Linked DNA regions of Alligator mississippiensis. The protein of the gene in region 3 purifies or fractionates together with the protein of the main gene of each other region. This does not show direct contact. Links are inferred from orthologs where the notes say so. Each region holds a gene or a part of one and is shown on either strand. Other genes may lie near its edges.

The links.
Region 1: the proteins of TULP3 (region 3) and SIRT1 purify together in Homo sapiens (affinity purification with mass spectrometry; 5 studies listed by BioGRID and IntAct, counting the BioPlex papers as one, with this or other methods). This does not show direct contact. The link is inferred for Alligator mississippiensis from reciprocal best matches to the Homo sapiens genes TULP3 and SIRT1.
Region 2: the proteins of TULP3 (region 3) and IFT140 purify together in Homo sapiens (affinity purification with mass spectrometry; 5 studies listed by BioGRID and IntAct, counting the BioPlex papers as one, with this or other methods). This does not show direct contact. The link is inferred for Alligator mississippiensis from reciprocal best matches to the Homo sapiens genes TULP3 and IFT140.
Region 4: the proteins of TULP3 (region 3) and TTC21B purify together in Homo sapiens (affinity purification with mass spectrometry; 5 studies listed by BioGRID and IntAct, counting the BioPlex papers as one, with this or other methods). This does not show direct contact. The link is inferred for Alligator mississippiensis from reciprocal best matches to the Homo sapiens genes TULP3 and TTC21B.

Annotation. Positions count from the first base shown.
Region 1 is NC_081829.1:54,462,280-54,469,919, reverse strand, and holds the start of SIRT1 (NAD-dependent protein deacetylase sirtuin-1), read right to left. Parts: upstream 3,017-7,640; 5' UTR 2,891-3,016; coding exon 2,476-2,890; intron 1-2,475. UniProt on the Homo sapiens protein: NAD-dependent protein deacetylase that links transcriptional regulation directly to intracellular energetics and participates in the coordination of several separated cellular functions such as cell cycle, response to DNA damage, metabolism, apoptosis and autophagy.
Region 2 is NC_081836.1:29,248,346-29,256,137, reverse strand, and holds the start of IFT140 (intraflagellar transport protein 140 homolog), read left to right. Parts: upstream 1-4,776; 5' UTR 4,777-4,864; intron 4,865-7,792. UniProt on the Homo sapiens protein: Component of the IFT complex A (IFT-A), a complex required for retrograde ciliary transport and entry into cilia of G protein-coupled receptors (GPCRs).
Region 3 is NC_081827.1:143,895,510-143,903,102, forward strand, and holds the start of TULP3 (tubby-related protein 3), read right to left. Parts: upstream 3,009-7,593; 5' UTR 2,738-3,008; coding exon 2,697-2,737; intron 1-2,696. UniProt on the Homo sapiens protein: Negative regulator of the Shh signaling transduction pathway: recruited to primary cilia via association with the IFT complex A (IFT-A) and is required for recruitment of G protein-coupled receptor GPR161 to cilia, a promoter of PKA-dependent basal repression machinery in Shh signaling.
Region 4 is NC_081827.1:216,635,548-216,643,292, reverse strand, and holds the start of TTC21B (tetratricopeptide repeat protein 21B), read right to left. Parts: upstream 3,002-7,745; 5' UTR 2,938-3,001; coding exon 2,914-2,937; intron 2,797-2,913; coding exon 2,667-2,796; intron 1-2,666. UniProt on the Homo sapiens protein: Component of the IFT complex A (IFT-A), a complex required for retrograde ciliary transport and entry into cilia of G protein-coupled receptors (GPCRs). Essential for retrograde trafficking of IFT-1, IFT-B and GPCRs.

The DNA.
Region 1 (7,640 bases), on a different chromosome or scaffold from region 3:
TATAAATAATCCATAACCTTCAAGAAGCTTTAGGACAGCATGATTAAAAATCCTTTACTTTTCACAACTTGCATATCAGTTGCTCAACTTCCACTCTTTTGGACCCAATATTGTTATATTAGTTCTTTATTGACACAGGCCTTATGATGTAGGAACAACTTAGCAAAGAATTTCAGCAAAGATAAAGGACATGGCTTTCAATGCATTTTAGACTAATGAAGTTCAAATTTGAATTTGAACAATTTAACTGGTCACACCATGCAAACTGCCTTTTCTACACAAGGCTTCTCAAATGTTTTAGATGCCCAACAAAATCAGACAGAGCTGACATTTGATATTTCTGAATTGAACACACACTAATGGCCACAAAATACCCACCTTTTTCCTTAAGAAAAAAGAGGGGAGGGAACAGTTTATCAAAAAAATCCTCCATACCAAAATCTGTTGAGACTTGCTTATCTCTTGACTGTATAAGATCAGAATACTTAAAGCTAGATATATCTCAAGTCTTATGATTACAAATGAAAAGCAGAAAATATCAAGTGCCTGTTATACAAGGTAATAGTCCTCTCCCCTTTAAAAACACTGTTATGGACCAGGAAAAAGGAGGATGGACAAAATTTCAAATTCCAGTCTACAACATTTTAAGTGCATGTGAGTGTTATTTTGGTACACTTTCTTGCTGTTACTTTATTCACTGGTTTGGACAGTTTTTGCTCCCATTCCAATAGTTATACCTAAATCAAAGTACACATCTCAGAGAGAGAAAGAGACACATATTAGTTCATGCAGTTTTGTTGTAGTGTTGTTGTAGCTCTGATGGTCCAGGAAATATGCAAGCAACAAGATTTTTGGTGTTACCTTTTATCAAACTAGCTGTATGGCACAAAGTGCCCATCTTCAGGTCTAACATCTATCATCTCTCCCAGCTGTGCAGCTAGTCTAATAAAAAATATCCCTCCAGTTGTTTTTTTGCATGATTTCAATGCATGGGCATATAGTTTATCATGTACACAAGTGTCTCCATAAGGACTATTTAGACCCACAACTATCATTCTTATATTGACCAAAATAGACTAGAAACAAACTAGTTGATGCGACTGTTTAACAATTATACTTTCTGCAAGTTTCAGAAATCTTTCAACTATAAGCAATATCCCAAGACCGATAAATCAACAAGGAGACTTCTCCTAGGCGGAACCAATCACAAATTTAAAAGGTATACATCTAGGATAAGAGTAGCTTGGGCAAAAAGGATTCAGTACAAAGCATTTATGAAAGAACCAATTCTACATTGTTCTCTTCTAATAACATTTTGGATTGATAATCCTGCTCCAAGGTATTCAACCTCTGCTCTTTCTTATCAGTGCAGGCCATTAAAAGCACTATAGTACATAAGCAAAAGTGAAAATTTAAGATTTAAGCATGTCCCAGGGCAAAAATTGCTTGTGAAAGATTTAGTGTTGATTTACTAAAAATATGTAAATTCAGTTCTTAAGGGCCTCCTGTCTAGGCAAAGACACCATTTGTTTTAGAAGTACAAAGGAAACTACCTACAAACTGGTACTGCCCCAGTAGTTCACCTCAAGTTGGGCCTGCCAAGATCCTTTCAGAAACTAATAGTTATAGTTTAGTTTTCATGCCCAGGGTAGCCAACTACACAAAATATTGGCAAGGCAGCTGCTTAGTGGATCATGTCCCTTATAGGAAGGTTTCCAAGAAACAAAACACAAAGATGAACAGCCATACACAGGAACTTAGAAGGGCAGAAGTAGACCAGAAGAGCAGCTTTTTAAAATGTTTAATAACTGTAGAGAAACATGTTTACTACAAAAATTGTCAGGCTGCTTGCTCACAGAAGGCCAGCCAAGGGGACTGTGAAAGCAGAGGTTGGCTGAAGTTAGTAAATCAGGAATACAGAGCACTGACACAGCCCAACCCAGCAAGCTGTAGCTATTTCTCAAAGGTGGACAAGTTTGATTTCACTCTGTTCCCTTCCGAGCAGCAGTAGGTGAGTGCCTCACCCTTTGCTGAACAGCCCTAGGCTGAAAGCGTCATCTTTCACCTCCAATCCCTGGGGGCTGGCAGCCCCCAAAGGGCGGCCTGCCACTGTCAGCACCTGGAGGGCTGAAAGGAAAGGGAGAAAAGGGAGCGGATGCGAATGTAAACATAAAGGCGCATGTCGGGCTTCCAGCCCCGGCGGCTGCGGACAGATGTGCCCTGGCGCCCTTAGTAGCAGGATGGGCGCCAAGGGACAGAGCAGCTCGCGGGCATGAAGCCGCTAGGAGCAGAGCAGGGGTGCAGGGCAGAGGCTCGGCCCAAGCCCGAGGGGGCCCGCGGCTCCCCCCCGCTGCACCCAGAGGCGCGGGGGCGTGGCGGGGGCGTGCGGCTGACGCGGGGAGGCCGCGGGCGCACGAAGGGGCGCGGCCCAGGGTCCCTCCGCTCTCCGGTCCGGGGGGGGGGGTCGGTCCTCACCGGGATGCGGGGCCGGCGCCTCGGCCTTCCCGTTTGAACACTGCGCCCGTCTACAGCCAATGGCCAGCTCCGCCGCGTCTCCGTCGGGCGCCGCCTCCGCCCCCTCCCCCCGGCCCAGCTGCTGCTGCTGCGGCGACTGCGGCGGCTCCGCCCGGGGCAGGCCACGCAGCCCGGCCCCATTGTCCGCGCCGCTCCAGCCCGCTGCCGCCTCGCCCCTCTCGGCGTGGGCCGCCTCCCCCGGCCGCTCCATCGCCGGCCCGACCCCGCGCCCCGGGCGCAGCGTGGCCGCCGCGCCCCACCCGCCGCAGTCATCCTCTGAGTCCCGGCGCTGGCGCTTGGCAGCGGGCTCGGCACCATCCGCCGCAGCGCAGGGGCCGCAGCGGGGCTGAACGACCAGAGACTCCTCGTCCGCCATCTTGGAGCAGCAGCAACCGCCGCCTCCCCCGCCCGGACCAGCGCGCAGCGGCGCCTCCGCTGCAGCCCCCACCCCAGGGAGAGATTTAAACCCGGCACGTGACCCGGCCGCCGCCCACGCGGGCACCCGCCAGCAGAGGCCGCAACAACAACAAACCGGGTCACGTGGAGGGGGGGGGGCGCGCTGCCGCTGTCACGTGACCCTCTAACCGCTGGGCTCGCGCACGTGACCCACGTCTTCGCCGCTGGCCTGGAAAGGGGGCGCGGCCGGGCGCAGGGTTACGTAAGGCTGCTGGGGGGGCGGGGCCGGGGCCGGGCCGGGCCGGTGCGTGGGCCGGACAACGCTTGGGGCGGCGCTTGATGTCAGCCCCGCTGGCCTTGGCTGACCGTGTGCGGGGGAGGGGCGCTGACATGAGGCCATCGCCCTTCGTTGGCCTCTCGGCCAGGGGAAGCGGCTCGGACGGGGCTAGTCAGGGCGCTCCAGTCCTCTCCGCCTGTCTCGGGGGCTCCCGGAGCGTCTTGCCGGGCTGCAGTTGCTTCCCTTCCCGCCCGACCCAAGGCAGGGCTGGGCTGGGCTGGTCCGGTCCGGTCCCTGCGTGTCTGTACCGCCCCGCTAACCTGGGCCTTCAGTGGCGGGTCTGACACGCCCCAGCGTGGAGCTTTCACGAGAGGAAAAGCTTAAAGCTTGGGAAACAAGCCCTGTTCCCCTGAGCAAAGCAGCTCCTTTGGGCTGGGTGCCAGCTGACACCGCTTTCTGCCCTGGGCTGCAGCTTTCCATCCCGCTCCCTCAAACTTCTTGCGAGGGTATGAGGAGGCAAAGCCACGAGATGCTTGGGAGCTTACCTGTCAGCACTGCTGCCTTTAAAAATACCTTCCATGCCTTGAAAAGAGAGGGAGAAACTGATGAAAGAAAATAGGAGGAAGGTTACCACATTGTTAATGAACCCCTCAGCTTATGTTCCAGAAGATGGCTTAGTTGTCTATTTGAAATACTCCTTTTCCAGTTTCTAATTTAACTCTGGGCAGCAGTGGCTCCAGCCTGTATCAGCAGGATCTATGGACCGAAGTCGCTGCACTTAACTTGTATATATTTTTCCAGTTGGACCTTAAAAACCAAAACCTGAAACTTAAGAACTAAATCTTTTCCATACAGTGGAAAGCCTCCAGCATGTTTGCAAGAACAGGGGTTTTCTCTGCATTTTAGGATTAAATCTATTTTTATGTTTTATACAATGGGATGGATGCACTTGAGTTGCTGATGGTTGTACCAGTTTTGGAATGATTCATCCTGGTCCTGGGTCCTAGTCCATCATTGTACAATAAATGTTCAAAATAGAGTAAGATCATTGATTGGACACCAGTTCACAAAAGCACTGAAGCTTGTGCTTAAGTCCATTTCGATTTGGGAAGGCATTTAAATGCAGTTTACTTAATTTTAAGTGGGACTTGAAAATATACCTAAAGTTAAGCATTTCTTTAAATGTCTTTATAAAATAGAAATGCATGTCTAAACGACAGCCTTAGATTGTGAACACGGGATGCGTCTACGAAGATGCTACTGTGCAGTCCTTACTGCACCTTTAATGGGGTTTTCAACCAGAGGTATGCATACCCCTGGGGTACTTTGGAAGGCCCCAGGGTGTACATGGCAGTGGTGCCAAGGAGGCACCCCCTTGCCTTGTTGACCAGACACCGGGCAACCCCTGGCTCATTGACCAGCCACTGGGGGTACCCCAACTAAAAAGTTGAAACCCCCTAATTAATTCCCCTGTATAATCAAGTACTAAATAAATGCACAGTAACTGGAGTTACTGCACAGTAGTGCCAGTGCACATCTTTTAGGTGATGCTACCGAGCAGTAGCCTAATAATCAGGGAGCTGGATTTTCTGTTTGCCATGCAAAAACATGGCAAAACCCAGATTTTCCCATTTTAAGTAGTAAAACCCGGATTTTCTCCTTTTAAGGAGAAAAACACAGGAAATGACAGAGTTCCAGCCAGCTAGCAACTCCCACAGGTAATTCAGGAGGGTAGATGGAGGCCCCCATAGTGAGAGGTGGATGGAGTTGGGCAGAGCTGGGGCTGCTGCCCAGTCTGGGTGATGCCTGGGGCCAGAATGCGGAACCGCAGGGGGTTGGGATGGAGCTGCAGGCAGCTTGTCAGGGGGTGGGGGAAGCTGGCTCCCCGACACTGTGCGCACTCCCAGGGGGAGGCATGGAAAGCACATGCCCCCAGTTTTGTGCATGGGGCAGGTTGCCTGCTGTGCGCTTGGGCTCCCTGCTCTGCTGTCCTCCCCCTGGGCACCTCCATGACCCAGCAGGTGGGACCTGGTGCAGCAGGGCAGGGAAGATTGACAGTCTAAGGCAGTGCTGCTGCTGTGAGCCAAAAGTCCCCATGGCAAGGTGTCCCCTGCTTGCCCAGCAGCAATGGGAGGCACAACTCTGTGCCGCCACCACCCCTGCTGCTGCTGAGCAGGCAGGGGGTGTCTCATCGTGGCAACGTGGGGCTTGCGGTGGTGTCACTGAGCTTCTTCACCCAGCTTCATTCTTCCCTGCTGTGCCAGGTCCCCCCGGCTGGGCTGTGGAGGCCCTGGGCATGGCAGGGAGCCTGCACCTGCCCCCACATGAGCCAGCCATGCTGCCTATGGTGGCGGGGGAAGCCAGGCTTCATACTCTGCTCCACCACAGCAGCCACTGCCTCTGATGAGCGGTAGCTGGGGCTCAGGTGCTGCTATGGGGGGCAGGGGGCTGCAGACCCATGTCCCTGGACCTGTGATCCTGTAGCTGTAGCAGCCGGGGGCCCTCTCAGGCAGGGCTGGGTGGGTGGGTGGGTGGGGAGTGAGGGGCACCAGCAGGGGTGGGGGGAAGGGTGTGATGGTTTTGGGGGGTTTTAATCAGAGAAGTTGCAATTTTTAAACAAAGAAAACCAGGATCCCTGCTAATAATACCATGCCGTAGCATATTAGCACTGTCTGTGCTGTGACATGCTACTGCGTAGTATTTTTCAGCTACTCTGGAGTCAGTGTCTCATGCAGACATGCTTTCTGTGTCTAAGAAAAGAAGATTCTTGATCCAGATGCAGGTTGTGCACAATTGAAAGATGATTCCTGATTGAGGCATAAATGTATTACTACAATAAGAATAATAAATTATAAATAATACATACATTTCACTACATGTCATTGTACACTTGCTATGTGCATAAATTATCCTTGAATGTGTTCTTACCTCTAAAGGTGGTAGATTATTTGGCTTTTAACGCATTATAGTGAGCAAACACAAATTGCCAATGCATTATGAATGTAATTTTATTTTTGTTCATGTCTTTGCCCTGTTGTACAAATTGCTTGGGTAATTTTTGATAAACAGAATTTTGGAAACCAGCATGTTGAGTCTAGGGGACACTTCGAAAATTTGCACACCTGGGGTTTGTGTAATCAGAGTTTACCATATGTTGTTTAAATAGAATATGGATTTTCTCATTAAAATAAATCCTTTTTTAATTGTTATATATTGCTTGAATACAATTGAGGTACAATTTTGAAAAGTACCTGGGGGGGGGGGGAGAGAGAGAATCTGTTGTATTTGTTGTTAATTAAAATGTTTATATAGATAAATAGTCTGAATTTGTTATTTTTCCTTCTAAAACGGTCGATCTTCAAACAAACACGTACACCCTCTCTCTGCCTCTGACACACCCCTGAACACAGGGATCAACAAGTAATGACCAAATCAATGGCTTGACATCACCTTTTGGTTTGTTTAGTGTATTTCTGAACGGAACTGTAGATGGATATGAAGCAAGTAGAGGCATTTGCTTTTGAAAAAAATCAACTCTCAATTCTTAAAGGAAAAGCACTGCATTTTCCCAGCTACCTGACTCTCTCTGTTTTAGTATTTCCTTATCTTTGTGCACACAGATAAATCTGAAAGGGGGATGATCTGCTTAAGTTTAATGAATGGAAATGGAAATATTTTTTTAAACTATGACACATGTTACTGTTAAAGCAATGACATGCAAATGATACATATTGACTAGCTATTAACAAGCCACCTATCACAAACTACTAACAGAATATCTGGGTTGACACTATTTCCTGGCACTGATATTTTTTTTAAAGAAAATGATCTCTAGGTTAAAGTTTTTCATGCTTGTTTTCAGCCTTAAATTGTCTTTTCTATAGGTAACATTGATATAATTATCTAGATGGTCGTTTTAATTGTCTTAAACAGCAAACTAGCTTTGCAAAATATATTCCTACTCTTTTTCTGGTCTCCAAAAAAACTGAAAAACAGCTCACTCCTAAAACTTTGTCCTGGTTGGAGTATCAACTTGTTACTCAGAAACATATACTGATATATCTAAATCTGAGTTAAATGAGATTTAAATTGGATTGTTTTTCTTTTTCTTCTCTTTTTTTTTTCCTACTGTGCAGGTCTGCAGGATGCTTTCTTATTTTGGCTTAAGAATTTTATTTCAATTAAATTGAAAAAATAAAAAAGTAAACACCCAATGCTTGTATAGAAATATAAAAATAGATTAATTTAAATACAGACATTTTGTTGCATACTTGTGTGAAGACAAAATCTTGTTTAAGTGGAAATGTGTGTTTTAAGATATATTAAAAAAGAACTGGGGGAGAAGGGAAGGAGTGGGTGTTTGAAGTTAGGTTTTCAAATCCAAATACCAGTTCAGATCTGGCAGACATGCTTAACTTTACACGTGTGAATGTTTCTATTTGAAGTCCCACTG
Region 2 (7,792 bases), on a different chromosome or scaffold from region 3:
TGGCAGATTGGGGTAAGGAGCAGAAAATAGAGGAAGGGGGTTAGAGTGGTGCTTGGGGAGGGCACAGGCTTAGTTTGTGTCATGCCTGCCAAAAAGGTTGGCTCCCGCTGCCTTAGATGTTTTCTCTACCAAGGTATGTAATGGTAATTTGTGAAGGAGGTTTGAAAGTATTTTCACTAATATACTATTTCTCACCTGTTTTCAGATTATTTCTACTGTATAGAGTATTTTATGCACTTTGACTTAAATATTTGTTGCCAGTAAAATGATCCCCAGGCATCTTTCACTTTGTACTAATTGTCTAAGGGTTTTTTCTATCTTTCACTGGCAACTTAGTAATTTGTTAGAGAAATAATATAACATAACATACTTGAATATCATTCTGAAGTATGTTAAAATGTTGTGAAAATCTATATTGCATACATTATTCAAAGGATAGGTTAATTTTCTTCCCAATGTTTTTTAATTTCTTACTCAACAATGGGGTCATTACAACAGACAGGAAAATGGGGTTAGGCTATATTATAGTTTAACATTCCAAGTGTTAAAGGTCAAAATAATTTTACAAATTTAAGGTTGGATCCTGTAGCTGAATCAATCTGGATCCACTCCTGACTTAAGCAAGGAGGGTCTTAGTGCAAAGAATCTGGACCTGCACTGTAGCCTGTAGCAGACAAATGATTATCTCAGGAGAGGACAGCTTGTACTTTATCCTTTTGTGGTGTATCACTCTTTACATTAAATTGTTTAAAAAGTTGAGTAAGTATTATGCTCATTTTGCAGATAAGGAAATGTGTGTATTTATAGTCTTGTCTGTGCTGTAAAAACAAGAGTTTTTACTACAGAAGTTTCTAATCCAAGTTACTGAATAAAATTATAACATTGTACAGTAAATAACCTTATTTTAAAAACAAATATTTCCCAGTCTTTATTTCTGCCTTAGTGTTTTGGTCTTATACCATGGTTTGAATAGCCATATGGGTCAAACCAAGGAGGCTTGAAACGTGGCTCTGTCACAGCTGAAGTTAACAAATCGAACAGGATGCTTTTTATATTTACACAGTGTGTAAATTTACATGGTGCTTTACTAACCTACACAATTCAATGCATTCAGATCTCCAAGGAGCTCACAGTGCAGGACCTCTGATCCTGCAAACATGCATGTGAATAACTTTGTATGCCTGAGTAATCCTAGCGCTTCTAGTTGGACTGCTAATGTGTAAAGTTACTTATTTGTGAGTTTGGAGAAATTGGACCTATTTAAAACACAATTTAGACAAGAACTGAGATAAGAAGCTGGTGTGGAGGCTAAAGACATTTGAACTTTCCTTCATTCTGTAGTAGATAGGGCCCAAAAAGGCAGGCCAATGATAAACTTGTACAAACAAAAAATAGAATGCAAATTAACTGTAAATTTAATGTTACATTATCACAGTCAAAGTGGCAATGTAACTTGGGGTTCACTGCATATCTTGTGTAATTTATGGCACAAATTATATACACTTAGTGTGTTAAAAGAACAGGGACAGAAAATACTGTGTGTGCAATGCAGCAGAACTAACATCGCCATAGAAACTTAAATTCTTATTTTTCCTCATCTTAATTGAGATGCAACCTTTTAATATTTGCATCAGTTTTCTAGGTTTATTTTTATAAAGTAGTATAGTATATGGCCAATAATAGATTTTTCTTAATCCCTTTCCCAGCTATAAAAAAGCCATCAGTATATAAAACATACTTCTGAATCTTTTTTTGATCACCTTATATTTGATACCATGACATGTCATTCATGACATTCTTTTCTCTTAAGGTATTTTCAGTCATTTAACTTTATAAATTATTGTAGGCAGTCCTCTTGTTACTGTGGCAGTTTCTGTCCTTTCCAGTTGAGGTAAGAGGACTTAAAACAGAGGTCAGATCTCCATTGCTGATCCTCCAAAGTGTACCAGGATGCACCTGGACATGACAGAGTGCTAGCAGCATTCTTTTAAAACCAGGGATGAAGGTGTTGGGTGTTGCCCGTTATTAATCAGAACACTCTAGCAGCCTTGGATAGCTGACCTAGCACCTTTTGCAAGGGCTAGATTCAGAGAATCTTAACATAGGAGGAGGAATCCTTGTGATTTAAAGTATTAGTCCAGGGCTTAATATGTCTGTTTAGAATGCAAATTCTGCAGCAGTGACTGCGTATTGGATATTTGGGGAAAAATCTTCTCATTGTAAGTGTAGTTATTAGTTAAGCACTGGAATAGATTACCCAGGGAGGTTGTGGAACAGGTTAGACATCTACCAGAAATGTTTTAGGCATACTGGATCCTATCTTGGTCGGGGAGTGAATTAGACTTCTTGAGATCATTTCCAGGTTTACCTCTCTAATTCTGCTTGTTTATAGAGTGTATATCATGTAGGGGGATTCCAAGAGTTGAAGCAATAGTAGAAATACTTTTTACAGGAAGTCCTCATCTTGTAAATAAATCTAACATTAATTGAAGTATTGTTAAATTCAGGGTGCACCAGCATTCAGAGCTTTTTTTCTGCAAGTGCCCATCTACATTTTTGGTTATGATGAAACTTTTGGCCTCCTTTATAATATACACCATCTCTTTTCTGATGGAATCACATAATTCCAAGTCCCTGCACTATTTGTGCCTAATGGGGTGTGATGCATCATTTGAATGAATGTACATGGTCAAAGCTGGCAGCTACATTTTGTGCATATAAACCTGAAGTTACCATTTAAAAATTAGAAGATAAATCATACCTTTGATTATTTGTTTAAATGTTGGCCATGATCCTAAGACTCTGATGCATGGGTTTGCTATGACTTCAGTGGGGCTATGAATAGCCACAGGGATGTGCTCATACAGACCATTAGGATTAGATCTTAAGGAGTTGCACACCTTCTAGGTTAATATACACCTCCTAGTGCTGCCCATTGGTCTCAGAATGACCCACAGGTAGCATCTGGGGCCTGCTGGATGGTCTCTGCTCCAGTTTGTGCCCTGGAGAGAGAGAGAGTGGCTGCTGCATGGAGTGCAGCCCCTGCTCCAGGGGCATGCAGCACAGCCCAGTGGCAGCAGCAGCTTCAGAGCTGTGCAGCACATCCAAGGAGCAGCCAGAGAAGGACTGGACCATGCACAGCACCCTCTTTGGCTGCTCCAGGACATGTGCTGGAATGTAGGGCCAGTCTGTAGGTCTGGTTCAGCCTGCAGACCAGCCCCACATCCAGCAGACTGAATAAGTTTGATACCTCTGCTATATATTAACTATTATGCTTGGATTTTTTTAAAAATGTTATTTTTTTACAGCAAAACATTTCAGTGATAACATACTTTGCCTCCATCTCCCAACTCTTCCCCAAACCAAAAAAGGTTGTGCCCTTTTTAGAGGTTGCAAACAGAATTGTAGAACTGTGATATTTAATTAAGAAATATAGCCTCTCATAGTAGTGCATGGAGGCTTCAGTCAGATCAGGCCCCATTGTGTTAGGCACTATGCAAACATAGTTGGTGACTTGAAGAGTTTACAAACTAATGTATGGATTTCCAGATCGGAGCAGTCTCATGTCATGTTTAAGTCAATGGAAGCTGCGTGTGTTCATCACCTTTGACAACCAGGCCATTGAATATCCAGTCTCCTCTGTCACTAATAAAAACAGTTTGGCAAATGCTTCTCCATAGGGTTAATTGACACAGTGTTGAAAATGGCTGCTGGTGCCAGAGATGTACCTATTAGGGCTTTCAGGCCTCATAGTCACTGAACTCTCTGAAGTAAGTAGGTGTGAGTTTGCATTAACATGTTCTCTACAACTCCCACTGGTTTGGGCTTGTATGGAAGAAATGTGCTACAGTGGCTAGAGTACTATAGTAAGAATTGGGAGACTTTCTAACTAGTTGTACAACTTTAATCAAGTCATTTTGCCTCTGTTATACTGCTCTCTTCCTTTGCAAAGCGATCTGAAATGTGCAGAAGAAAAGTATTTATATAAAAGCAAATTATTTGTGTTATGGAAAGGAACATCTGCATGCGAGATACTGCTTTGTGCCCTGACTGTCTAACACCAGCTGTCTTATGTCTTCAGTCCTAGTATGACAGTCGGTAGCAGCAATCCCCCAGTTCAAGGGCTGATCTCTACCACAGCTCATTGATGGGTCTTGAGCCACAGATCCAGCTGCAGAAGCTGCTGGTCGTTCCATGGGTGTAGGCTGGGATTCCTCTCCTTTGAGAGTGACCTTCTTCCTCTGCGGACACTCTCTCAATGTCCCCTTTTCGATGCTAATACAACCTCCCCCGACTGTGCTCAGGACATTACTTGAAGCACTTCACCGTTCTCTTTTCATCCGAGACAAACATGAACACAAATTCGGTCCAGCGCCTTCCGGTTAACGACTCTTGGCGAAAGGGCGTCCCTCACCTGCAGCTCCCGGCTGTCAGCAGGCAGCTTGGCCCGAGCTCAGCACCTGTCACCGGCATCGCTTGCCTCGCATCTTCCAGAAAGAAGGAAGATGATGATAAAAGGCTGTTTCTGTCTTCTTTGGGGATCCTCAGGAAACAAAGGGCTTCGAGACGGTGCTCCCGCGGGGCTGGCGGGGTGCGGGTATCCCCAGGCACCCGGCACCCCTGAGCTGGAGCGACCGGCCCCCTGCCACGCGCGGCTGCGGCTTCTGAGCTTCCGTGTCTGCCGCCGGGCCGGCTCGGGCGTTTCCGTGACTGCTCGGCGCTCCGGCCGGGCCGGCTCGGGCGCTTCCGGTTCGTGCTCCCCCCGTTGTCAGGGGTAACGCGAAGCATCATGGAGCCAACGCGGCGGCGGCGGCTGCAACCGAGGCCCTGAGCGGCTGCGTCCGCGCTCTCGGGGCAGGCGGCGGTAGGAGCGGGCAGGGCCGCGGCCGGGGGGGGGGTCGGCAGGGCCCGATGCGGCCCCCGGGGCTGGGAGGACCCGGCTCGGGCTTCTTCCCCTCGTGCTGCTGCGCTGCAAGGGGCCGGGCCGCGGCTCCCCTGGGCCGCGGGGCTCGGCTGGCGGGCCGGGCCGCCGGTGTCGCAGCGCTCTCTGCAGGCGCCGAGCGGCTCCGTCCCCTGTCGGAGCCGCCCCCGGGGTGCTGCCCGCGGCTTTCGCGGGCCCGGCGGAGCGGGGTGAGGCGCCCGTGGCACAGAGCGGCGGGGCCGGGTTTCGGGCCCTCCTTGCTCCCTCCAGAGCGCCTGTGGCCGGAAGGCCCCGTGCGCCGGGGTCACCTGCCTGCTGGGCCGAGGCCAGGAGCCGCCCCGCCTCGCCCTCCTCGCGTCGCCCTTTGAAGGATCTGGTAGCCCCCCAGGGTGCCCCATATCCTGGTGAGAATCATGGGGTGGTCCGTGGCCGCCGTAGTCTTTGTACTCAGAGTGCCTTTAAACACGGCTGCTAGTTCTGTTTCTCCCCTTTTTAAAATAAAACTTGAAGAGGGCAGCACTTTGCTTCCATGTTGTAGTCTGTGGGGTGATAGAGCAGCTCCCACAGAATCATTGAAAAGGAGAGCCAGAAGGGACCTCAGGAGGTCATATTCAGTCTAAGCCCCTACTCAAAGCAGGACCATCCCCAACTAGATCGTCCCAGCTAAGGCTTTGTCTAGCTGGGTCTTAAACATCTCCAAGGATGGAGAGTTTACAACCTCTCTGAGTAACCTGTTCCTGTGTTTTTTTACTTTTACATACCATTATTGGGCTTTGTTTGTCAACTAATAATTTAAAAACACAAACATCAGGGAAGTAGGAGGCAAGGTGGGTAAGAAGAACGGTCGAATGGGCCAGTCCTTTTGCTCAAAAGGAATAAAATGCAAAACCAGATAATGGGGAAAATGAGGAACCCAGCCCTGTCACTGACTTTGTTCAGGCAGAGCAGTGCAACACCCTCCCCCCCCCCCCAAGTTTTGTGGGGGCTTGTCTGCCCACATGAAGCTCATTGCACGTTCAGGACCCAAATCACTAGTATGTTTGTACAACATGCATCTTTTACCAATCAGAAGCTGTAGATGGGTAAGAGTGCACCAAAGGAAAGTAGTCTTGATCATGCAGTTTGAAACCCAATACAGAGTTTGTAGATCAAGGGACAGATACTATTTCCCCATCTCAGATTTGTCATTTTTGCTCTCTATATAGTATGATTTTATAAACCCATTAAAAACACACAAAACAAAACAAAACTTTGAATTAAAAATTTAAGAGGATTTATGATGATTTCTTAGAGGTAATTGCAGAATCTCTTAAGGAAGTCCTCACATCCTTTCAGAAAACCAGATCTATTATCTCTGATGGATTCATTAAGGAGCTCAAGTCTGTAGCCAAGCACAGTTCAGTAATGGTCAGACTTGTGTAGGACAAAACAACCAACCAACCCCCGCCCCCCAAAATCAAAACTACATTCTTGGTTGACAATTGAGGTGTGATCCAATACAGCTGATGGTATTACATAGAGAATATAAATAGCTTGAAGAATACAAATCAAAACTGATATGCATATATTTAAGTGGTGCAGCAGCTAGTGCCAGCTCTTCAAATAGCATGCTGGTTTGTTGTGACTTGAGCAAGCTTAAGGTAAAAGGTGCTGCATCAGAATCTCAAAAAACCTTCCTTTTTGAAAAAGTTTTATTTTTTTATTAAGATTCCAGTCCTATACTTGATGCCCTTCAGACAAATACTTCAGACCATGACTGAATAAGAAAAAATAAATCCCCTCCAAACAATATACATAGGAGAGCATAATGTTCTCCTAAACATACAATTATCTCCCTGAGGAGAGGTGAGAAAGTTAACTTCATATGATGTTAATCGCATTGCTGTGCACTTTTGGCAGGTATGTAGTTACTAGTTATGAGGAGATATATAGAAGAAAAAAAAAAAAAAGTATTTAGACTGCTATGCTGCAAGTCAAGTTCCAAAAGATTATATAACAAAACATTTGGGGAACTTTTTTTTTTAATTCTTATAGTACTGGTTAATTCTTCTAGTCTTAGACCAGTGGTTGTCAGCCAGGGGTACACAGAATGGAAAAAAAAAAAAAAAAGTTAGAGGTGCACTAATACATTGGTCCCATCAGATCGGCACAGATAAAAGGAAGTGACAGTATCGGCAATCAAGGAATTTTGTGGTGGCTGAAGCCCCCGCATTGCTTCCCTTCCCAAGGCTGCCACCTCCCACCCTGAGCATATCTTGGCCCAGCCCCCCTGCTGGGAAGAGCCTGGCACCCCCTTGGTCCAGCCCACAGTGGTAGCCTGCCCTCACCCAGCACAGATTCAAGGGCACACCTCCCCCATGCCCTCCTGGGGTGTGTAGTGCCAGAAACCAACCCCCCCTGCATCTCCCATATGAGCTGCCTGTGGCTCAGTCCCATGCTCTGCCCCAGCTATGCAGCACCTGCCCCAGCCCCTCCCCCCACAACAGACTTACCAGCCAGATGCCACATATTAATAATGCATTCAATGTTAATTAGTATAGTCTGCCTGTGACTAAAGGAGTAGAGACCAGCCTGCTCCTTTGTCCTTGGAGGAACTGCCTGCCTTTCTCCTGCCATGCCAAAATGTTCTATTGTTTTGATGTTAGCAGGTGGGAGGCAGGGGTTTAGGTGCCCAACCCACCTTACACCAGGGTGGTTCTCAAACCTGACATATAAGTGACCCTGTCCCACCACAGGCAGGCCCACCCAGCCTCCCTATACCAGCAGGGTACAATTTCAGGGCATGTCCAGGACCAATAAGTCCTTTTCCTTCCCCATAGCCTCACCCTTACCTCTAAGATATTCCTAGAGCAGGAGCTCCACCAAGTGACA
Region 3 (7,593 bases):
ACAAAGACACTATATTTAGATGCACTATCATCATGACTGGGCTATGTCTAATTCAGCCAATACCACCATACAAGTCACCAACTGGACCTCCTCCAAAAAGGGGATTTAACTACTTCTTTTCCTTTGCTTTTGAAGGAGCCCTCTATCTACCCCTGTGCATTTTACTGTATTCCCAATTCCAACCATTCAATTAAAAAACAAATCAAAGATCAGGTCCCCCAAAATAAAGTAAATAAGATGCTCTAAACTTCTTGTTATGGGTTTTGTCCTTTAAGATTCACATTTTCCAGCTTTTCTCTGCAATGGTGGTGGCAAAAAAACTAAGAAAGAACAGATTCTCCAGGAATCATATTGCTATGTTAGAAACACCAAGATTGCAAGAACTGGCACTTTTATTAAGCTGGCTCTGGGAGACATCCAGAGGTTGCTTGACAGGCAGCCTAGTGCTACATCAGAAGAAAAGCTCTATTTTCTTCATCTCCCCCACCAGGCCCAGGCCAGCCACATCCCTCACAATGCCCCCTCTTCAGTGACCCGGGTGTCATCCCTGAGCAACAAGGAGCCCCTGGGACTTTTTCTCCCACTTGTGCTGAGTGGTATGCGAGGATGGTCCCATTATCCAAACTGGATTTTGCCACGCTCATGCCGAGCCCTGACCACCAGCGCCCAGCGACATCGGGCAGCTGGAAAGTGAAGCTGGCACTGGGGGCAGCTGTGGTGCTGGGGGCTGGTGCCCTGGCATTCTGGTGGTGGAGGAGGAGAGGGCAAAGGCCGGAGGGGGACGAGCATGAGCTCTACAGGATTAGATCACTTTATAGGAACTTCCCCAATGATGGCGATGCACCGAATGTTAGGCACCGAGCTGATGCCACGCAGCTGCATCCCACCACCAGCCAGCTCCCTAGAGGGGATGCAGTCCTGAGGAGGCAGGCCCGCCAGCTGGTGGTGGAGTGACCGGACATCAGCAGCTGCAGGACCAGAGGCCACAATTCCAACTGTGGCCCTGGGACCCGTAACATCCAGACGGCTCAGCAACACCAAGAGAGACCTGGTGTCAGCCTTCAACACGCAGAAATAGACCAGTATCCCAGTGCCAGAACGAAGGGCGGATAAATCCTCGCACACTTTGAGGTCAGGGCTGCAAGATGAAGCGTGGCAATGCTGTCCAGGCAGGATTTCGGTAAGTACGGCATGCTTTCAGTCTACCTGGTCCTCCTTATGCTCCAGGATAGCAGATAGGTGCAAGGTTAGGGCATGACTCAGAGCAGTGGTGGCAGGGTGGAATCATAAAAGGTACAAATGCAACTGTATTGAAATTGTACATCACAGGAGATTTAGATTCTTACGTGGGGAAAATGTCATGGCAGGATTTCATTTAAATCAAAAGCAGTATGTTTTTACCTGCCCTAAGATGGCAGGTGGGTGCAGGGTAAGGGTGGGAAGGGACAGGCCACAGGTCAATTTACTATTTTACTGGAGGTGGTGGGGAACCTTCTTCATTTCCCATCACCACCACTGCTACGATCAAGTTGTGACAGAAAAATCTAAGCTGTGCTTCCAACAGCAAGTTCACTCAGGTCAAATATTCTGAAGCCCTCCTCAAAAAAGCAAAGGAAACTGGTCAACATTAACAGTACCACAAGCTATGCTCCCATCTATCTGAGCTCATTCAATGCGCATGCTTTTTTTGGGGTGGGAAGGCAGGGCAGAGAGCGAGCATGTGAGCAGCTCTCAGAAAAAATAGGGTTTTTCTGGAAGCAGGACAAGCAAGACCAAGTGAAAAGACAGCTCTCACTGGGTACAGAATCCTTATCCATAAAGGCATCTGCTTTGTACATTAGTAACCCTCATCTTTGTCACTTCCATTAACACTGTACCCCTTACTGCACGGAAGCAGTGTAATGTAAAGCAAATCCCATTTGCTCCCCGCAACACTCCAAGTCACCAATTAAACTGATGGCAGAAAGCCTAACTCGGCTGGACATTATGACTTGATTTCCCTCTTGTGCCTATTATAAAATAATTCATTTAGAAAGTTACATTGGTTTATTCAGTGAGAGAAATAGGAATCAGCAGCAAAGAGGTTCAATTAGATGGGAGCTTTTTACCCATGCCCCAAGTCAGACCTCCTGGAAGAGTGACTGTAGGAGCTACCCAGAGGGAAGAAACAGACCAATTAAGACTTGCAGCCTGAACAGGAGGCTTAACAATAAGTCCAGCTGGGGGCTGTGTCAGAATAGGGACCCCAGAAGACTTAGACACCTGCCCATTGCCTCCCATTACCTTCTAAGGCAGGGCTGATGCGCAGGGCAACAAGCATTGAGTTCTGCTCTCCTGCCCCGGCACTGTGTGACCTCATGGAGGGACTGGCATTGTACAGACCGAGAGCCCTCCTTTGAGAGGGGCCGATGGCGCTCTGGGACGCACCGCTAATCACACCACCAAGCCGCCTCAACCCGCGGGGCGGGGCGGGACGGGGCGGGGCGGGACCGGCCCGCCGCAGCCCCAACCCCTAGCCCCACCGCGCGCGGGACAGCCCAAGCGCAGCCCGCCGCCACCCTGCGCGGGGGCTGCAGAAAGGGATGGGGGGAGCCCGGAGCTCCGGGTCGCCCCCACGTGCAGCCCCACCGGGAACGCCCCCCCGCGCTGACCGGGCGGCGCAGGAGCCTCGTGCTCCAGCCCCGGCCGGGCCTCACCTGCCCCCGCAGGGCGCCGCGCGGCCCCTCGCGCTCTCCATCCCCGCCCGCGCCGTTGCTATGGGAGCCCAGTCGCGCTAGCTCGGCTCCTCTGCTCCCTCCGCACTCCTCCCCGTGCCGTTGCTCCAGGCAACGGCACCCGGCACTAAGGCGCGGCACCACTGGTGGGAGGCGCAGCACGGGGCGCGCCTATTGGCTGCGGTCGAGAGGGAGGAATGAAAAGAGAAGCCACGCATGCGCACCGCGCGGGGTGGTGCCTTAGGCGCCGCCCCGCCCCGCCCCGCCCCGCCCCACCGAGCCCGGCCAGTGGGGGCGGGGCTGGAGGAGCCCCTGGGCGACCCCCCCCCCCCCCCCCGAGTTCCATTTAACACGGGGCATCGCTGTGAATAGCAGCCCCCTGGGTATGGGGGGAGCTCAGCTGCATGTAGAGCAACCCCATGCACCCTCACCCCATACCGTCTTGCTGGAGCAGCCCCTACTGCCCAGCTACAGGGGCTGTGGCTTACCTGCCCTAGGGAGTCCAGCCCCCTCCCCCCCCACGGCTGTGTGCCTTCCCCAGCTCCTATGGCCAGGCAGTGGGGGCTTTTCCAGCTCAGCTTCTAGGGCTGGGTAGTGTGGGGTAGCTCCAACCATGTCCCTGCAGCCAGGCTCATGGCTTCCAGCTGAGCTCTTATGCCCTGAGCAGGTAGGGCTGCTCCAGCTAAGACTGGGAGGAAGGAAAGGGCATCATTCTGGCATCCCCTATGTTGGTACCCTTCTTACCTCACTGCTCTTAGTTAAGCTACTGCCAGGAGCAGCAAATTTGAGGCAAGGATGCCTCAAGCTGGACCACCTCCCCCCTCCCAGAGACATTCACAGCTGGACCACACAGTGGATTGAAGCACCTCTCGGTGGGAGTAAGGAGTCTCAGCCTCACTGGGGCTTAGGTCCATGCTTTGAACAAGGCATCTCTCTCTTCATCCCTGCAGAGTCATCTCCCAGTGGGACCTCCTTGCATTAAGCCACCAGCACAGAGGAGATGCAGCTGAACTCCTGTTCTGCTCCAGTCAGCAGCTGCCTGTACCTGGGAGCTCAGGTCAGTACTGGCTCATCTTCACCATGATGTCACTATTGCTTAGCTTCCCCTTCTTTCTCAGGTATTTCAATAGGTGAGGCCGTTGCCTCCAAGTTACCTTCACTCCATACTGGTGTTCTGGGGTGTCCTTGACTAGTGATGTTGAGTCATGGCTTTCCAGTCTGTCAGCACAGACAGTGACATCACTATGTGCATACAGCGGGAAGGTATTCACGGGTGACACAGTGCCACTCTGATCAAGGCTCCTTGCAGATGACAGTTCTGGAGTCTGTATATCTGGTGGACTGAAGATCTCTAGCTCTTGAATAGGAGACTGAGAGGTTCTCTCTCGAAAGCTCTTTGGGTTGCTGGCTTTTGTTGCAGAGCCTGTCTTGGGCTGGGCATGGCATGCCTTTGCATTAGTTTTGGAATGCCTTGTGCAGGTACAGGTAGAAGTTTTTGGATTCTCAAAAGTTAGAGAAGGAAATCTGCAGACAGCAGGTTTCTGACCAGCTCCTCCTCCTTGAAGGAATCCATAACTCTTTTCCTGGATCTGGAAGTTTTTGGACACATGCTTTTGCTTCTTACCTCCCTTGCCCTTGAAGCCCATGGGTAGAGTGGCTTCAAACTGCGGGGACACCTGAAAAGCCAAACAGAGATGGTGAAAAACCATTCTCTCAGATGGGATAACCCCTCACACTCCTTGGCTCCTCCACAAGGAAACAGCAACACCATTCTCACTGCACTTCCCCTTTCTCTAATGTATCTATTGATCTTCATTTGAGAGCTGCCGTTGCCTCTTCCAGCACGTGGTCTAGTTTACCGAGATTTCCTCAGCTGCAAACTATGTTCGACACTCAAGACAGCATGAAAAATTTGGAGGCTCACATAGCCACAAAGTGCAGTTCTACTCTGAAATGCAGTTTTAAATGTGCTATCTTCTCTGAATATACTTAAATGCATCTATTTTAGTGATAGAATAAATCTTTAATTGCTACTGAATCCTCCACAGTTCAAAGAGCAGGTTGGATTCTGTTTCTTCTTGTGTTTTACAAACCACCAGTCTTGTTGATACAACCAGGAAGACAAAGCAGCAGCACAGGTGTAACTGACACCAGAATATTAAAAGGCAAGTCACCATGTTAGCCTCAAGCTAGGCAGAAGCCAATCTCTAAAGGTACCACCACCCTGTCCTGTTTTCTGCCAGAATATTGTAGGTGAAGGATAAGTATTAAAGAGGCCTAACTGGATTCTTAGACCCCCAGCTGAGGTTGTTTCACTGCACAAAACACATCTTATTTATAAAAGGGACATTTATTCTGCAGTAATGGAGACAAAAAACATAGAATCCACACAGCCATTTTTAGAGACTTTTCAAAGAAGACTTGCAATTCAAAGTTTTTTTTTTAATAATTAAGTCACCTATTATAGGGGTGAATTCTGATATTGTATTCTTAAATTACTCTAGAAACCACCAGTCTCTTTCATGCATTAAATTACTGCGCAACATTTCACAAGCCATAACCTAAGTCAAACAGGAAAAAAAAATGGCAAGTACCTATCCCACTGTTTTCGAGATTTCCAATCAAAACAATTGGAGGATACACAGGTTCTACACACAGGGGACTGCAGACCCCAGGAAATGTTTACGACTAGGAGATTCATGCAATTGAGATTCAAGTGATGAAATGAGGCCTGAGACCTAACTTGGGATTCACTATAAGTAGTCAGGAGAAGTCAGAGGAGAAGTTAGCCCAATAACTGCAATACTAGTTACCCAGCCATTACTTCTCAGACATCTCCAGATATTGGGATATTTTCCAATGTGTTCCAGATCCACAGTGATTCTCTCTCATCTCAGCAAGTGCTTTGCTTATTGATTTAGAAGCCATATAGCTGACTGCCTGCAACATGTTTAAAGTTGATCTGCTCTGAACTTCTTTCCGCCCCCCCCCCCGCAGCAAACAACATAGAAATTGACCTCAAATAACTCCAATTTGCATGGCTGGTGGAGTGTTCAAATGTATACTTGAAACCTCACTCCTTGGGGCTGCTTTGTTAAAAAGTTTTGAGTCCAAAGTAGCAATGCTATTTAGCAGAGCTGCCCAAAGTGATAGCTGCAGCTAAAACCAAGGCAGTTCCCACAGTACAGCAGCACAACTATTTAAAAATCTTTGCACAGAATGGCATCATGCAGGCAGTGCAAATGACTGCAAGACTGAATAAAACGGACACTGAATTGCCCTCTCAGCCCATGGGAGGGGGACGCTGGAAGGAATGCATGGAAAGAAGATTAAAATACAAACTGAGCTGGGGGAAGGGGAAGGGTCAAATGTACCAACCTTCCCTTCCCTTGCAACTACAGCTCATTACAAGGTACAACATCAATTTTAACTCCATGCCACAGACATCAACAGTCCCTGGTTTATTATTGTATGAATGACAGCAGAAAAGCAAGCTGTTAAAGTAGACATAAAAATAAATGCTAAAGAGAAGAACTACAGTTAGGGGCATACAAAAATGGAGCTAGCACCTTAACTGAACAGCAGGGATCCTGGTTTTCTCCGATCAAAACAATCCACAATTTTCAGATTAAAAAAAAGTAACCAAAATCCACATTTTTCCATGATCAAAATGAAACACTACTATATATAAATTAGTGGCATTTCATTTTAATCACAGAAAAATGTGGATTTTGAGTTACTTTTTTAAATCTGAAAATTGTGGATTTTTTTTTTTAAACAGAGAAAACCAGGATCCCTGTTGAACAGGCAGGTATTACTTTAGGCATAGCTTTCAGCCAACCACACTTACAGCACAGTAGCTATTTCAAGTATCAAAAAAAAAAAATCCATAAAATAAAAATGAAAGAATAAATATTTTATTTTCTGTGCACAGGGTTTTGAATTACTATAAAATCCATAAAGCAATTTCTCTTTCTGGATCCCAGTATTCAATGTCATTATGCTAATGTACATGACATGGAGTTCTGTTTCATTGCCAGTGGCCCTAAAGTATCATTCAGTACCTGAAGTGGCAATAAAGCTTGAGCTGCTTGTGACTTGCAAGAGTGGGCTTTGGAGCAACTCCGAACTCTACAGCTAGTTAAACCACAAGGAAATAAAGAAAAAGCACCCATTTATTGGCTCGTGCCAATATCCAGTACAGATCTCTCCATTACCTTGTAAAAGAGAAACAAAACAAAACACTGTATGAAATGAAGGAGCAGGAAACCTGTACTTACCCACTCAGTAGAGGCATTCTGGTCTACGGGTCTGGTAGGAACACATCTTGGGTTCTCAGCCAAAGGAAGAGAAGACCCATAATGATGAACAGATCCCTCCCGTGGCCTCTCAAGGAAGAGCAGCTCTGGCTTCTTGGCCTTGCGGGTGCATTTTTTCTTTGGAGGCATCAAAAGGCTTGAGGAAGCCACTTAGAGACTTCATGATGCTTGCTGGAGCTAGTCAAGAGAAGAGGAAGACTTCTCAGCTACTCCCAGATCTGCAAAGAACAAACGGAGGGACCTGAGGCCACCAAGCAATCTTGAATTTCTTTTAAAAAGTAATGCTTCTGATTGTGCCTAAGCTCTCTGAAAAGAACTGTTTCTAATGAAGACTGGAATAATAAATACATTGCTCTACAGACACAGAGCTAGGCTGGATACAAATTGATGACTTTTTCAGTTTAAGTTAGAAATGGCAACCTACATTAATCCCTACATTGTTGAAATCCTTTAAAACAAAAGAAAATAGTAACGTGGTGCACACTGCCCACCAACACTTTAATGTGAAACCACCAAACTAGGTGGCTACAGAAAAGTTTGCTGAAGTGCTGCGCCAGCTT
Region 4 (7,745 bases), about 73 Mb from region 3:
AACAGCAGACAGTACAAACAAGCACAGGGCACTATCATAATGGGGATAGTAACTACAGAAACCCATCACAGACAACGAGCGAGAAGCAAAGGTCTACAGAGAAGACCGTATTTGGGTACATGTCACTCGCACAGTGCACTGCACAAAGCAGCTGACTGCAGGCTTCCACCACACCAATCTCATAAGAGGGACTTTTACCTCGCATATAACAAATTTTTGGTATAAAAAGGATCATTGTGTAAGAGCAAATTCACACATACAGAACCCGTATAAAGCAAGAGAAACCTGTAGTGTAAACAAACCCCAAAATACAGGTATCTTGCCAAAAAACAAGAGAATTATCTCTTTATAACTTTATTTTCCTATGTGCACTTTGTTGGTTTGAGTCTATTTAGAAAGACTCTTGGTCTAAAGGTGTAATGATGGGTAAATGAAAACTTGATAGCTAGCCATGCTAGCCTGAAGACAGGATAGAGATACACATTACAAATGAACTAAATAAGCTATACAGAGGCCATAACTTAAGCTCATGAACTTGAGCTCACTTCATCAGACACTGCGTAAGTAAAAATGTATGCAGTCATTATGTGCAGACAGACAGAGGCATGAACAAAACGTGCCCCTCGGTGGCTGGGGGGGGCACGGCAGTGGCAAGGGTAAGTAGGGAACTCCTGCAGACACTGCAGGCGGGGGAAGAGGGGTGGCGAGCACCGACCAGGGGTTGGTGACCACCTATGGACGCTGCTGGCAGTGTCGATTGCTGACCACCTGCAGACACTGCTGGCGGTGATGGCAGCGGTGGGGGGGTCGCAGCATGTAGCGACTGCCCAGATACCACCCACACCCTTTTTGTAGGGGATGCACTGGCATGCTCAGGGGGTGCATGTGCACCCCCTACGCACCTGCCAATGGACAGAGGCCTGTAAAATGTAGCAGATATATCTTTCTATAGAAAAAGTGAAGTGCTTGACTATGGGGCAAGTAATGTTTCCACAAAACAGAGGGGAAAAAATATGCCTTTGAACCAGGGTGTAGTACAGTGATTCTCAAGCTGGGTGCCATGGAACCATGGGATGCCCTGAGATTCTTTTGAGGGTGTGGCAGAGTGGTACACAATGTTAGCTGTGTTAGGTGCACAGACACGATTCACCACATAAATGCAGAGTTTTCAAACAGGAATCCATAGTGACAAACCCATTATACCCTGCTGCAGCTTTCCAAGAGCTTAGCAACAGAGCTTGGCAAATAGTTGAAGGGCTGCCATAAAGAGAAGGGAAAGCACCTTTTCTATTTTGCTGCCCGGAGGAGGACACAAACTTTGGTTGCGAAGTTGCAGCACAGTAAGTTTAGACTGACCAGCTGGAAAAACTCCTTCACTGTTAGAACAGTGAGGAAGCAGAATAGACTGTCTATAGAAGTTGTAGATTTTCCATCACTGGAGATGTTCAAGAAGAGGTTGGACAGCCACTAGTTGGGGATTATCTAGGTATAGCTGTGCCCATGTTCTACCACGGATATTTCATGTGCTTCTGGGCTTGGCTGCTTGCTACGTATCAGGGTGTTTTAAGCCTTCTGAGAGGCACTGGTTATTGGCTACAACCAAGGCTGGGGCTTTTCACTGGGGTGTGCTAATGCTCCTGTTGGAACCAAAGCTGGAGGATTCTGGCTACAGGGTCTTGTCCATTTGCTCAGTGTCAGACCAATCGCCATATTTGGGGTCAGGAAGGAAATAGACCTCCCCGGTCAAAAGGATACAAAAAAACTGTTTGAGTTTTTGCCTTCCACGTCAGCACAGGGCAGGGCTCTCTACCTGGGATCTTCTGAATATGCATTGACATTTCATGGAAGTGGGATGCTGGCTGCCCTGCTCTCCCTCTGGCAGGCTGGCACGCTGGGCTGCGGTGTATCAGAGCTGAAGGTCTTACACAGAGTTCAGATCAGTAGGAGGCAACCCACGGCAAGCAAAGGCACGCGCGCCTCGGGGAAGGGACTGGTGCTGCGCTGCCGCAACAAGGATCAGGCCCCTCATGGCTCTACTGCCACACGCCCCTGGCACACCAACATTTTCCAAGCCAAGGTTGTGGGTATTTTTGGTACTCTGCCCAAAACCAGTGCTGCCCCCTGGTTTTATGTATGGTTGTCAGGCATGACCTCTGGAGGTCCCTTGCAGCCCTACTCCTCTATGACTAGGGGCACTTTTACACGTGCTCTGGGGTTGCAGGGAGAGCTGCGCTTCAACTGGAGCAGGGACGCTGATACATGAGATGCAGAAGGATGCTGGAGCGCGGCAACTGCCACGCTGCAGCAGACTCGATGAACCAAGTCTACCCCGATACGCTGCCTCCGCGCTTGTGTCCAATCCTAGGAAGAGAGAAGCCGCTCTGGTAGTTTTCCACAAGTCAAAAAGCCAAGTGAGGAGGAGAAGCACGCACGCTCCGAGGGGGCCCTCGAGTGTAACCAAGGCCAGCCCCAGCGTACTGAGAGGCCCTGAGCCTAACACTGCACCGCGGGGCCGGCAACACCCCGCGCTTTCCCCCGGGCTTCTGCCAAGAGGAGCTGAGCTCGGGACCAGCGCGTGCCCCCCTCGCCCCACCAAAGCCGGCAAGGAGCCTCCGCCTCAGCTCGAGCACGAGCCTCGGGGCTTCCCCGACCCCGCCGCCGGTTACCTGCCATGAGGAGGCCGTAGGCGCGGTAGAAGAGCAGCACGGGGTCGCCAGCCGCCTTGCGGAGCCCGTCCTCGGCCGCGGCCTGAGCGTGGCGGAACAGCCCCTCGCGGCAGTAGTAGCTGATCGCGGCCTGCAAGGAAGCAGCGGCCCCAGTGAGCGCGGCCGTGCCAGGGCGAGGTGCGGTCGCCGCCCCCGCCGCAGTCCCCGCGCCCTCCCCCCGCCCTGGGGCCGCCCCGCGCTCACGCACCCGCTGCTGCTGCGCGGCGTCCATGGCCCAGACACGCCGCGTCTGGGGCTGCGCGGCCGCAGCAGCTGTAGCTGGAAGCTGGAGGGGCGGGGGGGGCGGGGTGGAGGGGAGCGGAACCCGGTTCCATTGGCTGCTGCCAGCGGGGGGGCGGAGTCAGAATAAGGCGCCCGCTCCCGTTGGATGCTCCGGAGGGAGGGGCGGAGTTGCGGGAAGAAAATGTGCGTCTAACGGGTAGGGAAGGAGGGAGCCAAAGCATTTATCCCATTGGTTGCCAGGAGCACAGCGGTGGGACCTAGTGAGGCTCTCGCATCCTGATTTGACAGTGGAGCTCGAGGGCGGAAGTTGACAGATGTGGGGGGAGGCCTGAGCGCCCTCATTGAGTGAGAGAACCAGTCGGGTGAGGCGTGGGCGGGGCCGGCAGTTGCCTGGAGACGTGACGCGCCGCTGCCCGGGGCAGCTCCGCCAGGCCCGGCGATCACCACGGCCCCGCCGGCGCCTCTGCGGCCTCGTCCCGTTTCAGCCGAGCGGAGTAGGAGGTGCTCGGCCCAGCCGCAGCGCGTGCCGGGGACGGGGAGCAGCCGGCAGCTCCCCCCAGGGCAGCCACTGGCAGCGCTCGGGCTGGTGCGGGCCTCAACCTGCCTCTTTCCAGGCACATCGCACCTGCAGGTTGCTCCACGCGCTGATGCTTCAAACCACAAAGTATTTGTGCCTAGAGGGTTTGGACAAGCTCAGAGGTACAGTTCAAGGCAGATCGCCCTGGCGCACGCCCCTGCGTGTGGGGTTAGCATGGGAAAGACGCTCCTGGTGGGGGTTGGCCTCAGCAACCCCCCCGGGCTGCAGTGGCCGCGATCTGGGAGCACGGGGCCTGGCTCTGGCCTGCCTTGCTCCGGTTTGGGGCAGTGCATGCCACCGCTGCGTGCACCGTTCGGCTTCTGTTTCTCAGGTGCATGTTTTTTGACACTGGCATGTCAGGGTTTCAAAATACCCACCACACTGCAAATTAGCAGCGTGGTGAACGCCTGCATGTGGTCCCGTGCGTTTTGCAGCGCCACCAGCCCCACGTGCGCTACATGCTCGTCTGGACGCACCCTGGCAGCCTGATACCACCCAGCCACAAGCCATGCGCTCCACAGCGGGAGGCATGAGCAGGCTGCACCTTGGGAGACAGGTGTGTGAAAGCATGTGAGAGTCAGTGAACATTCACTTTGAGGTAAATTTGGCACTGCTGAGACTGAACCTACCTGCTTTTCAGGGTTTCATAATGTATTCGCAGCTGTTTTTTACTCAGTGCATCGCTTTGACCCAGTCATGTAACCATAGAGATACAACGTGGTAACCGCAGTCAGTGCACATGGGTAAAACACTCCAGTCCTGTGAAGGCTTGTCTAAATATCTGTTTCCACTGAAGGAAAAAAAGCAGATGCTTTGAGCTGTGCACAACAGGGGGTTATGATTTCTTCCTCTAAATAAAAAAAGATTTCCCCCGGTATATTCTCTTTCTGTATTCATGATTACAGCTTGGCACTAGCTAGTCAATAGTCCAATTTTCCAGTACTGCTGTCTGCTAGAGAATGATCAGAGTTTCTTGAACGACTAGATTGATGCCTGCTAAGGCCTCCGGAAACACCAGGCCAATAAGTAGTTTTGTTACATGGGTTGAACTGTGTCAAATTACAAATCCAACTTTATATGACCATTTGGAACATACCCAGGTATATTATCTAGTCCTTTATCTATCCCAGCACTTTGGGTAAAAGTGTTCAGGGGGGAAATTAAAAAATATCACTTCACACTTAAAGTAGGTCACAGGCATTTTTCTGCGGCCAGTAAATAATCAGAATGTGAGAAAGCCTGGGATTTTTCAATTCTGTTGTCAGTTTACATTAGTTTTGGCCCAACATCAGTTTTTATCTATGAAAGTGCTTAGTGATGGCTTCTCTCCTATTGTAAAAACTGGGATCAGCCCAGGTTCCACCACCTTTAAGTATCCAGAATACAGGTATTTTAACAAAGAGCCTTTTTCTCTAGTTGAAAACCTTAGTTTAGCTGTTGTAATATTAACTCAAGTGTAGAATAACTGACTGAAGTATTGGAGACACTGACAAGATGCTCAAGAAGGCTAGATTTTGTTTAATGAATCTGAATACGAGACGTGCAATTAACTATAATAACTACAGAACTAATGACACAATATCTTTTGGCTATTTTTACCTAGTTTTTTTTTAATGTTATATAAAATCGAGCAATTTATTGTGCATTCCTGTAGTTATATTTGTTTTTGCTTTGAATTTAAACTGAATAATATAGCACTTGCATATTAGTAAAGCATCTTAGTTTTCTTTAACTGGCAAAAAATATGTTGTGTTTTGTGTAATAATTTATCACCTATCCCAGGAAGAACCCCACCTATCCTTAGGAAGAACTTCACAGTTAGAGTGGCCAAGGTCTGGAACAGGCTCCCAAGGGAGGTGGTGCTCTCCCCTACCCTGGGGGTCTTCAAGAGGAGGTTGGATAGGCATCTAGCTGGGGTCATCTAGACCCAGCACTCTTTCCTGCCTATGCAGGGGGTCAGACTCGATGATCTATTGAGGTCCCTTCCGACCCTAACATCTATGAATCTATGAATATCACTCTATCTGCACCCCACTTTTCAAAATCCTTGATCTGCCCATGGCTGTTAGCTACAGAACCTGGCATGCCTTAATCATGCTACCTCAAGAAGTCATCTAGGCACTGGAAGACCTTTGATTTTTTTTTTTAACATTGATGTGTTCATCCTGTAACTTGCATATTCTAATATTATAAAAGCCTTAGTCTGTCTTTCTGTCCATAACAGTTTATTCACACTCTGTTGCACACATGCAATTAATCTGATTTACTATACCTTGCCTCACCTTGAGCCAGAGTAAACTAATCCCAACACCACCAACTACATGTGCATATAAATGCAGTAATTTATTGCACTGCTGGATATCACTTGCATCTGGTGGAATGAGCTGGCAGTGCAGTAAGTTATAGACTACTGTGCTCTAATTACTACACATGTGATGCTTTACTGTGCAGCAAATTAGTCTGTTGCACTGTAAAATGTCTCATGTAGACATACCCTTACTGTTCAAAAACTGGCAAAGATTATCCCTTGTCAATAGGTAATCTGGATGTTGCAATTATTTCTTCTCATCAGGGTCTTTTTTCTAAATTTTCTTTAAATGTTCAACATGGTGCTATTTTTGACAGTCCGTCTAAAAAAAACCACTTGATTGTACACTGTTGACAAGGTTAATCAATGAGGATGCTTGCTCATCTGTCCAAGACCAATCTGTGCATGCATTACCTCAATGTATGAGCAAAATCATTCAGATTTTGTCCCAGCCACCAATGAGCTAATTTTCATGTTAGATATTGAAATGGAAAAAGAAAAATGTTGATTTTTATTTTTCATAGTTTCATAGTTGGTAAGGTCGGAAGTGTCCTGAGCAGATCATCAAGACCATGGGCAGGAAAGAATGCTGGTGTCAAACGACCCTAGCTAGGTAATTTTCTAGCCTCCTTTCGAAGACCCCCAGGGTAGAAGCGAGCACCACTTCCCTTGGAAGTTGGTTCCGGATCCTAGCTGCCCTGACTGAAGTTGTGCCTCCTAATATCTAGTCTGTATCTACTCTCAGTCAACTTATGGCTGTTATTCCTCGTTATTCCCGGTAGTGGTCGGAGGAACAGGGACTCTCCCATTGCCTGCTGGTCCCCTTTGGCCAGTTTGTAGATGGCGACCAGATCCCCTCTCAGCCTTCTCTTGTGGAGGCTGAACAGGTTCAGGTTCCTTAGCCTCTCCTCGTAGGGCCTGCCTTGCTGCCCCCTCATCATGCGAGTGGCTCTCCTCTGGACCTTCTCAATGCTGTCCACATCCCTTCTGAAGTGCAGTGCCCAGAACTGGGCACAGTACTCCAACCATGACCTACCAGTGTCACATAGAGGGGGAGGATCACCTCCTTGGACTTGCTCGTGATGCATCTGTGGACGCATGACAAGGTGCGGTTAGCCTTCCTGACCACGTCATAGATTCATAGATGTTAGGGTCGGAAGGGACCTCAATAGATCATCGAGTCCGACCCCCTGCATAGGCAGGAAGAAGTGCTGGGTCTAGATGACCCCAGCTAGATGCCTATCTAACCTCCTCTTGAAGACCCCCAGGGTAGGGGAGAGCACCACCTCCCTTGGGAGCCCGTTCCAGACCATGGCCACTCTAACTGTGAAGAAGTTCTTCCTAATGTCCAGTCTAAATCTGCTCTCTGCTAGCTTGTGGCCATTATTTCTTGTAACCCCCAGGGGCGCCTTGGTGAGTAAAGCCTCACCAATTCCCTTCTGTGCCCCCATGATGAACTTATAGGCAGCCACAAGGTCGCCCCTCAATCTTCTCTTGCGGAGGCTGAAGAGGTCCAGGTGCCCTAGTCTCTCCTCATAGGGCTTGGCCTGCAAGCCCTTAGCCATGTGAGTGGCCCTTCTCTGGACCCTCTCCAGGTTATCCACATCCCTCTTGAAGTGCGGCGTCCAAAATTACATGCAGTACTCCAACTGCAGTCTGACCAGCGGCCGATAGAGCGGAAGTATCACCTCCTTGGTTCTGTTCGTCATGCATCTGCTGATGCACGATAAAGTGCCATTAGCTTTTCTGATGACTTTGTCACACTGACGACTCATGTTCATCTTGGAGTCCGCTAGGACTCCAAGATCCCTTTCCACTTCCGTGCCTCCAAGCAGGTCATTTCCTAGGTAGTAGGTATGCTGGACATTTTTCCTCGCTAGGTGCAGCACTTTGCATTTCTCTTTGTTGAATT